Canis lupus familiaris: one gene and its partners. The protein of the gene in region 2 purifies or fractionates together with the protein of the main gene of each other region. This does not show direct contact. Links are inferred from orthologs where the notes say so. Each region holds a gene or a part of one and is shown on either strand. Other genes may lie near its edges.

Region 1 (4,256 bases), about 9.8 Mb from region 2:
AGAGAGAGAGAGAGAGAGGCAGAGACACAGGCAGAGGGAGAAGCAGGCTCCATGCAGGGAGCCCAACGTGGGACTGGATCCAGGGACTCTGGGATCATGCCCTGAGCCAAAGGTGGTGCTACACTGCTGAGCCACGCAGGGATCCCCAATTTAAATTTTTTTGTATATTTTTTATTGGAGTTCAATTTGCCAACATATAGCATAACACCCAGTGCTCATCCTGCCAAGTGCCCCCCTCAATGCCCATCACCCAGTCACCCCAACCGCCTGCCCACCTCCCTTCCACCACCCCTTATTCATTTCCCAGAGTTAGGAGTCTCTCATGTTCTGTATTTCTCACTGATTCTTTCTTTCTTTCTTTCTTTCTTTCTTTCTTTCTTTCTTTCTTTCTTTCTTTCTTTCTTTCTTTCTTTCTTTCTTTCTTCCTTCCTTCCTTCCTTCCTTCCTTCCTTTTTCTTTCTTTCTTTCTTTCTTTCTTTCTTTCTTTCTTTCTTTCTTTCTTTCTTTCTTTCTTCTTTTTTAAATATTTATTTATTTATTTATTTATGATAGACATAGAAAGAGAGAGAGAGAGGCAGAGACACAGGAGGATGGAGCAGGCTCCATGCACCGGGAGCCTGATGCGGGACTCGATCCCGGGTCTCCAGGATTGCGCCCTGGGCCAAAGGCAGGTGCTAAAACACTGAGCCACCCAGGGATCCCCCTCTCACTGATACTTTCACTCATTTTCTCTCCTTTCCCTTTATTCCCTTTCACTAATTTTTATATTCCCCAAATGAATGAGACCATATAATGTTTGTCCTTCTCCGATTGACTTGCTTCACTCAGCATAATACCCTCCAGTTCCATCCACGTCGAAGCAAATGGTGGGTATTCATCCTTTCTCATGGCTGAGTAATATTCCACTGTATACATAGACCACATCTTCTTTATCCACTCATCTTTCGATGGACCCCTAGGCTCCTCCCACAGTTTGGCTACTGTGGACATTGCTGCTAGAAACACCGGGGTGCAGGTGACCTGCCGTTTCCCTGCATCTGCATCTTTGGGGTAAATCCCCAGCAGTGCAATGGCTGGGTCGCACACTCGGGGTTTTTTTAAATCGGTTCCCCCTTGATACAACACTTAGGGCTTCCCATCTTTTGCGACGACCAAAAATGTAGGAAGAGGTCTTCGCTGCATGGCGAGTGGCTCGCGCGTTGAAGACTTTCCGCGGAGAGCCGACTGTCCATAAACGGTTGCAGCAAGAGCGAGCTGACCCCTGTTAGGAGCCAGCCAGCAGCGCAGGTGGGGAGCCCTGGGGCCGCTCCCAGGGCCGCTCCCCGGTACGCGGCGCTTCGCGGAGGCTCCAGCAGGTGGCGCTGCAGGCGGCAGCCGCGCCCGGCCGCCCGGGCCACGTCGCTCTTGCCGTGGGCGCCGCCGGTGGCGCGGGGACGAGCGTGGGGGGCAGGGCGAGTCATATGACCCGCTCGGCTTCCTGGCTCCGGCCGCCGCCGCCCGCCCGTGTCCGCCAGTGGTGCGCCGCGGCCCCGAGGAGCCGTTGAGGGGTCGGGGCTGAGGCCCGCTCGAGTGGAAGCCGTCGCTGCCGCCGCCGCCGCCGCCGCCGCCGCCCGCCCGCCCGGCCGCCCGCGCGTTCTCCCTCCCGGCCGCCATCATGCTGGCGCTCATCTCCCGCCTGCTGGACTGGTTTCGCTCGCTCTTCTGGAAGGAGGAGATGGAGCTGACGCTGGTGGGGCTGCAGTACTCGGGCAAGACCACCTTCGTCAATGTCATCGCGGTGAGTGCCGCCGTCCGCGAGTCCGGCCCGGCGCCGGCCCGAAGGCCCGGGCCGGGGCTGCCGTCAGCGCGACGGGGCTAATGGGAGTGGGACGAGGGGAGGAGGTCAGCCGTTCCTGCCCCCTCCGCGGGCTGGGGCCGGGGGCCGGGGGCCGGGGTTCCCGCGTGCTGTGGTGCGCCGCGCCCGGCCGCCGCCTTCTGCAAAGGGCCGGCCGGGTCCTCCTCGCGGGCGGGGGCTTGGAAGGGGCACACGTTGGCCTCGTCGCGCCTGTAGGGATGGGGGTCTGCGCATCGGGTTTGCTCCGGGGCGGGGGTGGGGGGACACCTGAAGGCTTCGCTCCAGCCTGCACTTCCCCGAAGGGTGGGATTTGGCGAGCTGTCAGCCCCGTGAGAAAGCGTGAGGCTCGGAGCGTCTCTCAAGTGGCCGCTCGGGACGGGGAGCGCCGTGGTGCGGGGAGCAGCAGGCCGGCGCGGGGCGCCTTCCCGAGCACCGCGGACGGGATGTCTCCCTGTAACGCAGTTTACTGGTTTTCAGTGGTCCCCCTGGGGGCGGAGAGCAAGTTCAGCGCTGCCTGGGCTCGCCGGTAGGGACTGGGGAGGGGCGCTTCCAGCCCGTCCAGTGCTCGGTGGTCCGCAGCATTTATTAAGCCAAGCAGTTAAGGGGGGGGGGGGGGGCTTCTGCTTCTCCAGGGAAAGGGTGTCTAGGAGGGAGCTTGCCCTGGGAACCTGTATTGCACGCAGTGTGGTGCTTATTTAGTCAGCCTCGGTTGAGTGGAAGGATGATGATTGAATTTTGCTTGGGTGGTTAGTTGCGGGGAAGGAATAAGAGAGAAAGATGCTCTTCCATCTCAGTTTAGAGGCCCGGAGTTGATGTGACTCACTTGTAGCTGATAGGTGCTCGTACTTGTCAGGCATGAGCTTTGGAACTGTTTTAAAGAGAGAGGGCAGCAGTTCTTCCATCTTTTAGAGATGGTGGTTGAAATCCTTATTTCATAGACCAGTGGCCCAACTGGTTTGGTTACAGGAATGATTCAAACACAGCTCCCTTGTGGGAGAAAATATGTAACGTGTGACTCTTAGTCCTGCAGTAGTGGAGCAGCAGGAGTGAGTAAGACTTGAAGAAAAAGACGAGCAGAGATCCAGACTTCCTTTGAGGAACGTTGCATATAAGTATAAAAGAAAATTTGCCTACTTGTTTGGCTCCTCTTTGGCTCCTCTAGTGATGTGGTGGTGGTGGTGATGTTTTGGGTTTTGTTTTGGCTTGGGATGACTAACTTTTCAACATATATAGTAGAGTGGAAAGTATATGATAGCACCAAAATTAGTTTGAAATCCCTGTGGAGGGATCCCTGGGTGGCGCAGCGGTTTGGCGCCTGCCTTTGGCCCGGGGCGCGATCCTGGAGACCCGGGATCGAATCCCACGTCGGGCTCCCGGTGCATGGAGCCTGCTTCTCCCTCTGCCTGTGTCTCTGCCTCTCTCCCTCTCTGTGTGACTATCATAAATAAATAAAAATTAAAGAAAAATCCCTGTAGATTAAATATTCATACTAGAGCTTTTATAGGATATGGGAAAGACTTAGTTAACTGTAAATTTTCTGGTGTTCTCTTGAGAGATAAGAATTGGAATCTCCTTGTAAACCTGATTTTTTTTTTTTTACAAGACTGAATTAATATATAGTGTAGATGTAGGTGTATTACTACAATTAATTGTTGTATTTGTTGCAGAGTAGTTATTCTTGGGAAACTTGAAAAAGTTTAGTAAGTCTTTGAAGAACTTCTAAAGGCCTGAGCATGAAAATTATGCTTATTATGTTCTTTTTTTTTTTTTTTTTTTTAAGATTTTATTTGTTTACCCATGAGAGGCAGGAGAGAGAGGCAGAGACACAGGCAGAGGGAGAAGCAGGCTCCATGCACCGGGAGCCTGATGCAGGACTCGATCCCAGGCCCCAGGGATCACCGGCAGAGGCTCAACCACTGAACCACCCAGGCGCCCCTTATTATGTTTTTCATAGATGGTGTAGTTTATTATAATGAGCAAGAACTTTGAAGTCAAGGAACTCTGGGTTTGCAATCTGGCTCTTCCACTCAGCAGCCTTGTATCTTCTTTCAGTCCTCCTTGATTTCTCATCTATTAAATAGAGATAATAATATGTTTCTTAAAGAGTTGTTCTGGGAAGTAAATGAAATGACACATAGTAAGTGACTAGCACCAAGCCTGCCCATAGAAGGGGCTGGGTAAGTGGTAGCTGTTGTTATTTGTAGCCAATACATTGCTTCTTTAATGCAGAAACAGTGTTTTGAAAAATATTCAGAAGGGAATTAGCTGGGTTCATTTCCTTCTTTGAATCTGATTTATCCAAATGTGTGCTCCAAGAGTGGATTTATGGACTGTGGCAAATAATCATATCATGTACTCTCCCCCCCCCCCCCGCCCCAATTTAAAAAATATATTAGATTATTTTAACAGCAGAGCTTCTGGA
Region 2 (4,135 bases):
CTGATTATAGAGAAGAATGCAGGCCTTCTGCTGGGGATTCCAGCTGTCTGAGGAGTGATCCTCCAGCAGTCTTAGGTAAGTTGCTAACATTGGAGTCCGGAATATAGGACTCCTGCTTTTCTGAAACTCAGAATCAGGTTCAGGAGACCAAGGGATAATTAAGACAGGAACCCTGCCTTAGTAAGTAAATAGGGGCAGATTTCTGGAATAGAGATAAGCAAAAATGAGGCATCTTACATATTGTCTAGCCAGGCTGCCTGAAAGGTTCTTTCTTTTCTTTTCTTTTCTTTTCTTTTCTTTTCTTTTCTTTTCTTTTCTTTTCTTTCTTTCTTTCTTTTTTTTTTGATTTTTTTTTATTTATTCATGAGAGGCACACACAGAGAGCGAGGCAGAAACACAGGCAGAGGGAGAAGCAAGCTCCATGCAGAGAGCCCAATGTGGGACTCGATCCCCCATCTCCAGGATCAGGCCCCGGGCTGAAGGCAGCCCTAAACCACTGAGCCACCTGGGCTGCCCTGAAAGGTTTTCTAGAAAAGGGTGATCTCAAGAGCTGCAGGTCAACAAGTATTGTTCTCACACCAACCCCAATTTTTTTTTAATTTTTTTTTTTTTTTTTTTTTTTATGATAGAGAGAGAGAGAGAGGCAGAGACACAGGCAGAGGGAGAAGCAGGCTCCATGCACCGGGAGCCCGATGTGGGATTCGATCCCGGGTCTCCAGGATCGTGCCCTGGGCCAAAGGCAGGCGCCAAACCGCTGTGCCCCCAGGGATCCCCCAACCCCAATATTTGATAATTGTTCTCTACTTGGCACTGGAGATGCAGTGGGGAATAAAACTGTCTTGGTGGAAGTTGTTGGAGAAGGGAGAAAACAAATTAATAGATTTGGATGTCAAGTAGTGGTAAGTGCTCTGAAGAAAAAAAGTAAGGCAATGTAAAGGGTTAGAGAGCAGATGGGGAGAGGGTGTGCCACTTTAGATAAAGTGATCATGTCTCTGAGGAAGTGCTATGTGAGCAGAGACTTGAATGAAGCAGGGCCTAGTTGTTAAATTGAACATTAATCCACAGTGATCCAGCAACATCTGAGAGGGAGAATCCATCCTTTTAGACTGCTCCAAGGGGCAGGATGACCCTGCCTCTCATGATTTTGCCCAGCTTGTGTCCAAAGTTCTAAGATTGATTCTGCTTTCTGTCTGGTCCCCCTGGGTGGCAGGGAAATAGCTAAATGGGAAGGCTTAGTGCTCCTGGGGCTGTGTTGATGCTTGTACAGAGGGATGAGGTTTGCCTGGGTATTTCTGTCACGCTCACAAGTACTTTCTCCTTTCTCCTTTTAGTTTGAAGGATGACCTCTAGGAAGAAAGTGTTGCTGAAGGTTATCATCCTGGGAGATTCTGGGTAAGTTTGAAGTAACAGATTGGTTTGGATTAAATGTGACTTTGAAGCCATGCCCTCCCTGCTCACATTTGCCACTTCTCTAATAGTAGTGGCAGTAGGGTTCTAGGTCTCTTGCCATTTCCAGCACAGCAGATTTTTTTTTTTTAAGCACAGCAGAAATTTTAATGATCTCTTAGTCTGTAATCCTTGGTTCCCTGGTCTTTGGCATGATTTAGGGGAAGGAGTAGCCATTTAAACTCAAGAACGGTTTCACTGGAATCTCTTTTTTCTGAGCTGATTAGACAAGGGAGTTCTGTTCATGTGTAGATTTGTTGCCACTGACCTCATGCCTACCAGTTGTGGGTTTGGAGTCTGGATACAGCTGTGCAGTATCTTCCCACTACTGGGTCTGATTTGGGGTGTATCTGAAAGAACCTGCGACTGGAAAACTGGGTTCTGATCCTAGATCTGCCACTAATTAAGTGACTAACTCTTCAGTAGCTGTTAACGATTCTGTGGGAGGCTTTTCAGACTCAGCATCTGATGTGACCTGGAAACCTTAGACCAACTAGAAGCTATGTATTTTTTTTAAATGATGATGATGATGATGATGATGATGATGATAAATCCAGGTGTGCCTCCTTACACGAAAGTTCCCTGCCCTTTAAGAAGGCAGTGATTTTTCTACCCTGTCTGGCTTTTCTGATTGCCCTGAGGAGCTTTTCAAAAGTAAGCATTTTTCCAGACCATTGTGTTGGGCCTCATTGGCAGTACTTAAATACATATATCTCTCTGTCTCCCTCCTCCCTCCTTCCTGGTGACCACTGTGCTGTCAGGAATGAAAGGTACTGTTTTAGGCCCAAACTTGCATGGGAAAAATCACCGGGCCTTTATTTGATTAGAGACCTCCTGACCTCTCCCCTGAAAATTCAGACCCAGGTGACCTGGATTGGAGAACACTGCCTTAAGCCATAACTTACTTCCAGGTCCTCTGCCTATGAAGATGAATATGTTCCTTAGAGGGAAAGGAAGGTGATCCTGTTGACTTGGAAGAAGACTTTTATGTTATCTTCAGCCTGCCCTAACTAATCTCATCACCAAAAAAAATCCACACATTGTCTCTTACTGAGTTTTCTTACTGAAAAACTTCCCTGGAGGAGCTTACTCTGAGGTAGATTCTGATTTGGTGGGAATATTGATGCTTTCCTCACTTCAGATTTTAATCTTTGAAGTAGCAGGTGGCTGACTGGCATATATGTCTGCTCATAGCCAGTGACTTTCTCCTGCTATTACTTTCTTGGACTGAATATCAGCCCCTAAATGGAGAGACACCCAGGACAGCAGAGATATTTTTAGAATGGTGGCAGGATCTTATTGCTGTAGCTTCTTTTAGAAAGAGAGTATTTGCTGACATCTTTCTGGAAGGAAAAAAATAATACTAAGTTCTACCATCTGAGTTACTTGTACCAAAACTTAAGAGCAGCTTTTCAACATCTGATCCACATCTATAGCCCTGTACTTTTGTTCCAGGAGAAAATAAAACCTCGAATGAGTAACACTGAGCAGTTTGCTGGCACTATCCTCTGTTGTGATTACAGTTGCTTGTTATCCTTTAAGCTGGCAAGTATCTTCAGAGCTGCAAATATCAGAATCATTTTTCTGCCCCTTCTAACTTGACCTATACTTGTGGTTTTTCTCCAATTTCAGAGTTGGTAAGACATCACTCATGAACCAGTATGTGAACAAGAAATTCAGTAATCAGTACAAAGCTACAATAGGAGCAGACTTTCTGACAAAGGAGGTGATGGTGGATGACAGACTAGTTACAATGCAGGTAAGCACACATCTCAACTTTGTCACCCAAGCCTTGTTCATTCAGTCTGAACTCTTTTGTTCATGCCTAGGCATTTTCCCACCCCATTCCTCATTTCCCACTACTATATTCATGGATAATTGGTCGCAGGTAGGATGGCCAGATACAAATACAGGACATCAGGTATGACCCAGGCATTGCATGAGACATACTAGAAATTTTTCATTGGTTTTCCAAAGTTCAAATTTAATTGGAGTTCCTGGTTTTTTGTTGGTTTGGTTTGTGTTTTTTGTTTTTGCTGAATTTGATAACATACAGGCCCAAACTTTTGTCTCCAAAATGTTTAACTCATTCCTTTCTCTTAATATCCCCACATGGGGGACGCCTGGGTGGCTCAGCAGTTGAGCGTCTGACTTTGGCTCAGAGCATGATCCCGGGGTCTGGGATCAAGTCTCGAATCAGGCTCCCCTTGGGGAGCCTGCCTCTCTCTCTGTCTGTGTCTCTGGGTGCTCCCCCCCCCGCCCATGTCTCATGAATAAAGAAATAAAATCTTAAAAACAAAAATCGCCACATAGTATTTTAGGTCAGAATATCTTTGGGTCTCTCCTAGATTCTTATAGTAGCTGTTAATGTAGTTTCCCTGTTTTTCTGACTTTTAATCTGTCCTATCTATAGCCACCAACTTTGTATTTCTGTTAAGTTAGCCTGGCTTTTTTGTGTATCACCTTACTTTAATCTTTCAGGGGGTTTCCCTTGCAACAGTTAGGATAAAATACACATTCCTTAATATGACCTTTTGAAAGTCTTTGCATTCTGACTACAAACTATTCTTCACTTTTTGTCTTTTTCCAGTCCTTCCAAACCATGTGCTGCTTTTAACAAGCTGTCGTTGCACCTGTCTGCCTCCATCCCAACCCCTTTGTCCCATCTCCATCCCAACCCCTTTGTCCC
Region 3 (4,060 bases), on a different chromosome or scaffold from region 2:
GGCCTGGAGTCAGGGATGGAGTTAGCTCCATCAAAGCTTATGGAATGACTGGAGAGAGAGAAGGGTCATTCCCTCCAAAGAAACACTGTTATACCTGACCTGGGTTTATTAGCTCATAATTGCAAGGGAGGACCTGATTGGCTGCTCTTGGGTCAGGTGCCCCCCCTCCAGTCCGAACCTGGCAAGAAAGAAGGAAGGTGGGGCTGGAGGTGGCAGAGCCAAGCCTGGCATAACCTGCTGCCTGGTTCAGCTCTTCCTTTGGGGCTGTGGTGGGGAGCAGTCAACACTAGGGTCTGAGGATGCCATGTTGCACCAGATTTCTTCAGTGTTTTTGGAGTGCTTGCTTCCCATTTTAAACTTGCCCCAACCCTCTGAAATTGCAGCTGAGCAGTTAGCCCAGTTGCCCAGAGTCACACAGCCAGTGAGTCAAAGAACACTCGTGTGATTCATCTGAAAGTGACACCTGGGGGAGCCCCAGAAGGGACCCAGAGCAGGTGGGGTATGGGGAACTCTTCCCACAATCAGGGTCCTGAAAGGTGGTTTGGCAAGGAGGTGCTGGAGAGGAGGGGAACACTTAGGACCTTTGGTCCAAGCATCACACCTGGGCTTTACTGACCCAGGGTGAGATATCTGCTCCTAGCTCCTGTGACATTTCTGGAGCCCCATCTTCCCCTAGAGCTATCTGGCTCTGCCCTGCCTCCTTGAGGTCCTGTCCTCCCAAAGGCGGCTTTCCTGCGCTCATGGGTGACTCAGTGGCTTTCCTTGCCTCACCCTCTCCAGGAGTGTGCCGGGGCCTTTGTGTGTGGAGCGGGAATGACCAGGCTGGGAAGCTCTGAGCCCTCCAGTTAGCCATGGAGCAGCTCGTGGGCCTGGGGAGAGTTCCAGCATGAGCGCTCCACGCTCCAGGACCTCAGGGGGTTTAGCGTGCTTAGACCAGAGACCCCTACAGAGCCCGGTGCACTTTGCACCGCCCCCGCCCCCCCCTTCCCAACCCCATAAGCTGGTGCCCTTCTTCTCGGCATCCGGGCCCCATCGGAACACCAGTCAGTTGCCTTTTCCTCCTCCCGCTGCCCTCGGCCCAGCAGCCTGTCCTCTGGCCTCTGCCGCCGCCCCAGCCGCCTGCTCCTTTAATCGGCGCCACAGCTGGTGGTGAGCGAGCGTCGGGGTCCCGGAGCCCCTGCCTCCTCCACGGGCCCCGAGGCGCGGAGAACGAACGTTTGTTGGCGGAGGCCAAAGCCGCGCAGCCCCTCCGACCGGCCACGAGGCTCTGCGCAATTCTGGGTGACGGAGGCCGCCGGCTCGGGCGGGGCGGGGGCTCCCCGGGGGCCCGGGCTGGCTCCCGCCTCCCGTCTGCGCTCTCGGGCTCCCAGCGGGGGACGTTCTGCCGAAGCGCGGTTTGCTGTTTTCACTTCGCAAAAGCTCCGAAAATGGCCACTGGCAGTCTCGCTCCCGGGGAAAGTGCCTGCTACTCTGGAGCGCAAAAGCTCGGCGCACCCGGGTTGCTCGGCGCTTGGCCCTCGGCCGCCGCGGCCGGCACGCGTGTCCCCGCGCACGCACCCCTCGCGCGCCGCCTCGTCCCGCGCCGGGGCCCTCGCCGCCCCCCTCCGCGCGCCCGCACTCGCCCGGGGCACCGCGTCGGGGCAGGCGCCGAGGGCGCGCGGAGGGGGCGGCGGGCGCGGGCGCGGGCGCGGGCGCGGGGACCGGGCCCCGGCCTGGGCGGTGTCCGGGGCGGGCCCAGGGGCGGGGCTCGCGTGCCCGGGTGCGCAGGGTCGGGGCGGGTCCGCGCCGCCGCCGTCCGCGCCGCCCCGCCCCGCCCTCGGCCCGGCCGTGCGCTCGGTTCCTCGCGCAGCAGCCTCCGCGGTAGGTGCCGCCGAGCCCGCCGCCGAGCCCGCCGCCGCCCGCGAGGTAGGCACCTCGGCCGGGGACCCGCGCCCCGCAGGCGCCCGGGGGGGCGGGCCGGGCCGCGGGAGCTGAGCGGGAGGCGGTGGAGGGAGGAGCCGCGCGGACGGGGGGCCGAGGGCCGGGCCGGGCCGGGCCGGGCGGCGCGGGGGAGCGGAGCGGGGCGGGAGCGGGGCGGGAGCGGGGCGGGAGCGGGGCGCCCCGCGAGGGCCTGGGCGGGCAGCGGCGGGCGCAGCAGGCCTCGGCGGGCGGCCCGGGCGGGGAGCGGGCGGCCGGACGCCCCGGGGCGCCTGCGGCTGGGGCTCGAGCCTGCGGGGACCGCGGGGACCGCGGGCGGAAGGGCACGGGCCGCGCGTGAGGGCCCGGCCGGCTGCAGGTCTCGGTGACCTTTGCCGGCGGCGCCCTCTGGACCTGGGTCCCGCCCTCGCGGCCCGGCGGGGGACCGCCCGCCACCCACGCTCGCCGGGCTCGGCCCACGGACCGGCGCGGGCCATGCGGTGGCCGCGGGGATGAGCCGCTGTGATGACCGAGGCCCAGCCCGGCCCCGGCCCCGGCCCCGGCCCCCGCACCGGCCCCCGGCCCCCGGCCCCGCACGCCCTGCCCGGCCCGTGGGTGCACGCCCAGGGACGCTGGCGCCCGGCCTTGTCCGCGGGTCCTAGGCCTCTAGGGCCCGGGCGGGGGGCTAGGCCTTGGGAAGGGAGGCCCGGCGGGAGCGGGATGTGGCCTCCTTGGCCTCTGGAGCGCCTCCCGGTTTGTTTGCTCGTTCATTCACGGAGCGCGGCGGCGCCTTCACGAAACTGGCTCGGAGCCCTTGGATTTCCGGACTTGCAATCCCAGTGACTTGTCCAAGGTCACACTCAGCAGGCCTGAGTGCTCTCATCTGTAGAATAGGAGCAGTTACAGCTCTCCCTCGTTGGGTTTTTGGGAAGAATAAAATGAGTTGGTCAACACGAAGCCTTCAGGGGAAAGCTGGACAGCCTTGAGGCTTTTTGGGAGGATTTAGCCCATCCTCTGCAGACCATTTTACTCCACGTGGTGTTCTGGAAAGGGTTCAATAAACAGCCAGCTGCTGTTATTTTAAACATTATTACTAAGCACTTGTATACTGGGCACTGAGTAATTTTCAGGATAATTCATGAAAAATCCTTATAGAAGTTTATAGACAGACAAGGTCAGGCTGAAGCAGGAAGTTGCCTTTGGGTGCAGAGCTGAGGGAAGCCTAGCCTTGTTTGACCCATTCCCTTGACCAGCCTCACCTCTCTGGAGGAGATAGAGAATGGATCCCTCCTTTTCTGCATTCACTGTTGGCAAGGCCAGGGCAGACTGCCCAGGGCTTGCCTTGTTTCTCCAGCCCAGCTCTGGACTGAGTTCTACAGGGTTAGGCTTAAGCCTTATGCAGCTTTGTTTTCAGCGCCTGGGGTGGTGCCACTTGACCCACATTAGGTACTTGAGAAGGGTCTGTGGGGGCAAATGCAATCTTGCTTTTTATCCAAGAAGCAACTCACCCTTACTGAGAGAAGGATAGTTTTTACGATGGCAGCATGTGGCTTAGAGTAGGTGCTCATTAAGTATTTGTGAAATTATTGAATGGGCATATGTAGTGGATGCAGGCCCAGACCAGAGTTTCTTGATCTTGGACATCCTAAGGGACACACACTCATTCACTTCCAGCAAATACCCTTGCTTAGGAGAGAGTCACAGATATTTAAAGACTCGCAGTTGAATGTACAGCCCTGGAGCACTGAGATGCAGATCTGTTTCCTTTTTTTTTTTTTTTTTTAAGATTTTTAAATTTTATTTATTCATAGAGACAGAGAGAGAGGCAGAGACACAGGCAGAGGGAGAAGCGGGCTCCCTGCAGGGAGCCCGATGTGGGATTCGATCCTGGGTCTCCAGGATCACGACCCAGGCTGTAGGCGGTGCTAAACCACTGCGCCACCGGGGCTGCCCGCAGATCTGTTTCCTAATTTGAAATCTGCTTTAAACCTATTACCTTCGTTATGTGACTTTTTCACATCCTGTGGGAAACTTGTAGAACTGGTGTTTCTGGGCCTGCAGGGTGGTGGTGGTGGGGTGACCCCAGTGAGTCGGGATTCTCCTAAGGTTTTGGGCCTGGTGCTTTTCCTCTTTCTGATGAGTGGATTGGTAAAATGCTTGACCC

The links. Proteins that work in one complex are often made in the same cells at the same time.
Region 1: the proteins of RAB7A (region 2) and ARL8B purify together in Homo sapiens (affinity purification with mass spectrometry; 4 studies listed by BioGRID and IntAct, with this or other methods). This does not show direct contact. The link is inferred for Canis lupus familiaris from reciprocal best matches to the Homo sapiens genes RAB7A and ARL8B.
Region 3: the proteins of RAB7A (region 2) and VDAC1 purify together in Homo sapiens (affinity purification with mass spectrometry; 3 studies listed by BioGRID and IntAct, with this or other methods). This does not show direct contact. The link is inferred for Canis lupus familiaris from reciprocal best matches to the Homo sapiens genes RAB7A and VDAC1.

The regions. Positions count from the first base shown.
Region 1 is NC_049241.1:12,598,821-12,603,076, reverse strand, and holds the start of ARL8B (ADP-ribosylation factor-like protein 8B), read left to right. Parts: upstream 1-1,456; 5' UTR 1,457-1,654; coding exon 1,655-1,777; intron 1,778-4,256. UniProt on the Homo sapiens protein: Small GTPase which cycles between active GTP-bound and inactive GDP-bound states.
Region 2 is NC_049241.1:2,781,983-2,786,117, forward strand, and holds the start of RAB7A (ras-related protein Rab-7a), read left to right. Parts: upstream 1-1,330; 5' UTR 1,331-1,339; coding exon 1,340-1,392; intron 1,393-3,078; coding exon 3,079-3,205; intron 3,206-4,135.
Region 3 is NC_049232.1:22,230,512-22,234,571, reverse strand, and holds the start of VDAC1 (voltage-dependent anion-selective channel protein 1), read left to right. Parts: upstream 1-1,260; 5' UTR 1,261-1,281; intron 1,282-1,805; exon of another isoform or gene 1,806-1,905; intron 1,906-4,060. UniProt on the Homo sapiens protein: Non-selective voltage-gated ion channel that mediates the transport of anions and cations through the mitochondrion outer membrane and plasma membrane.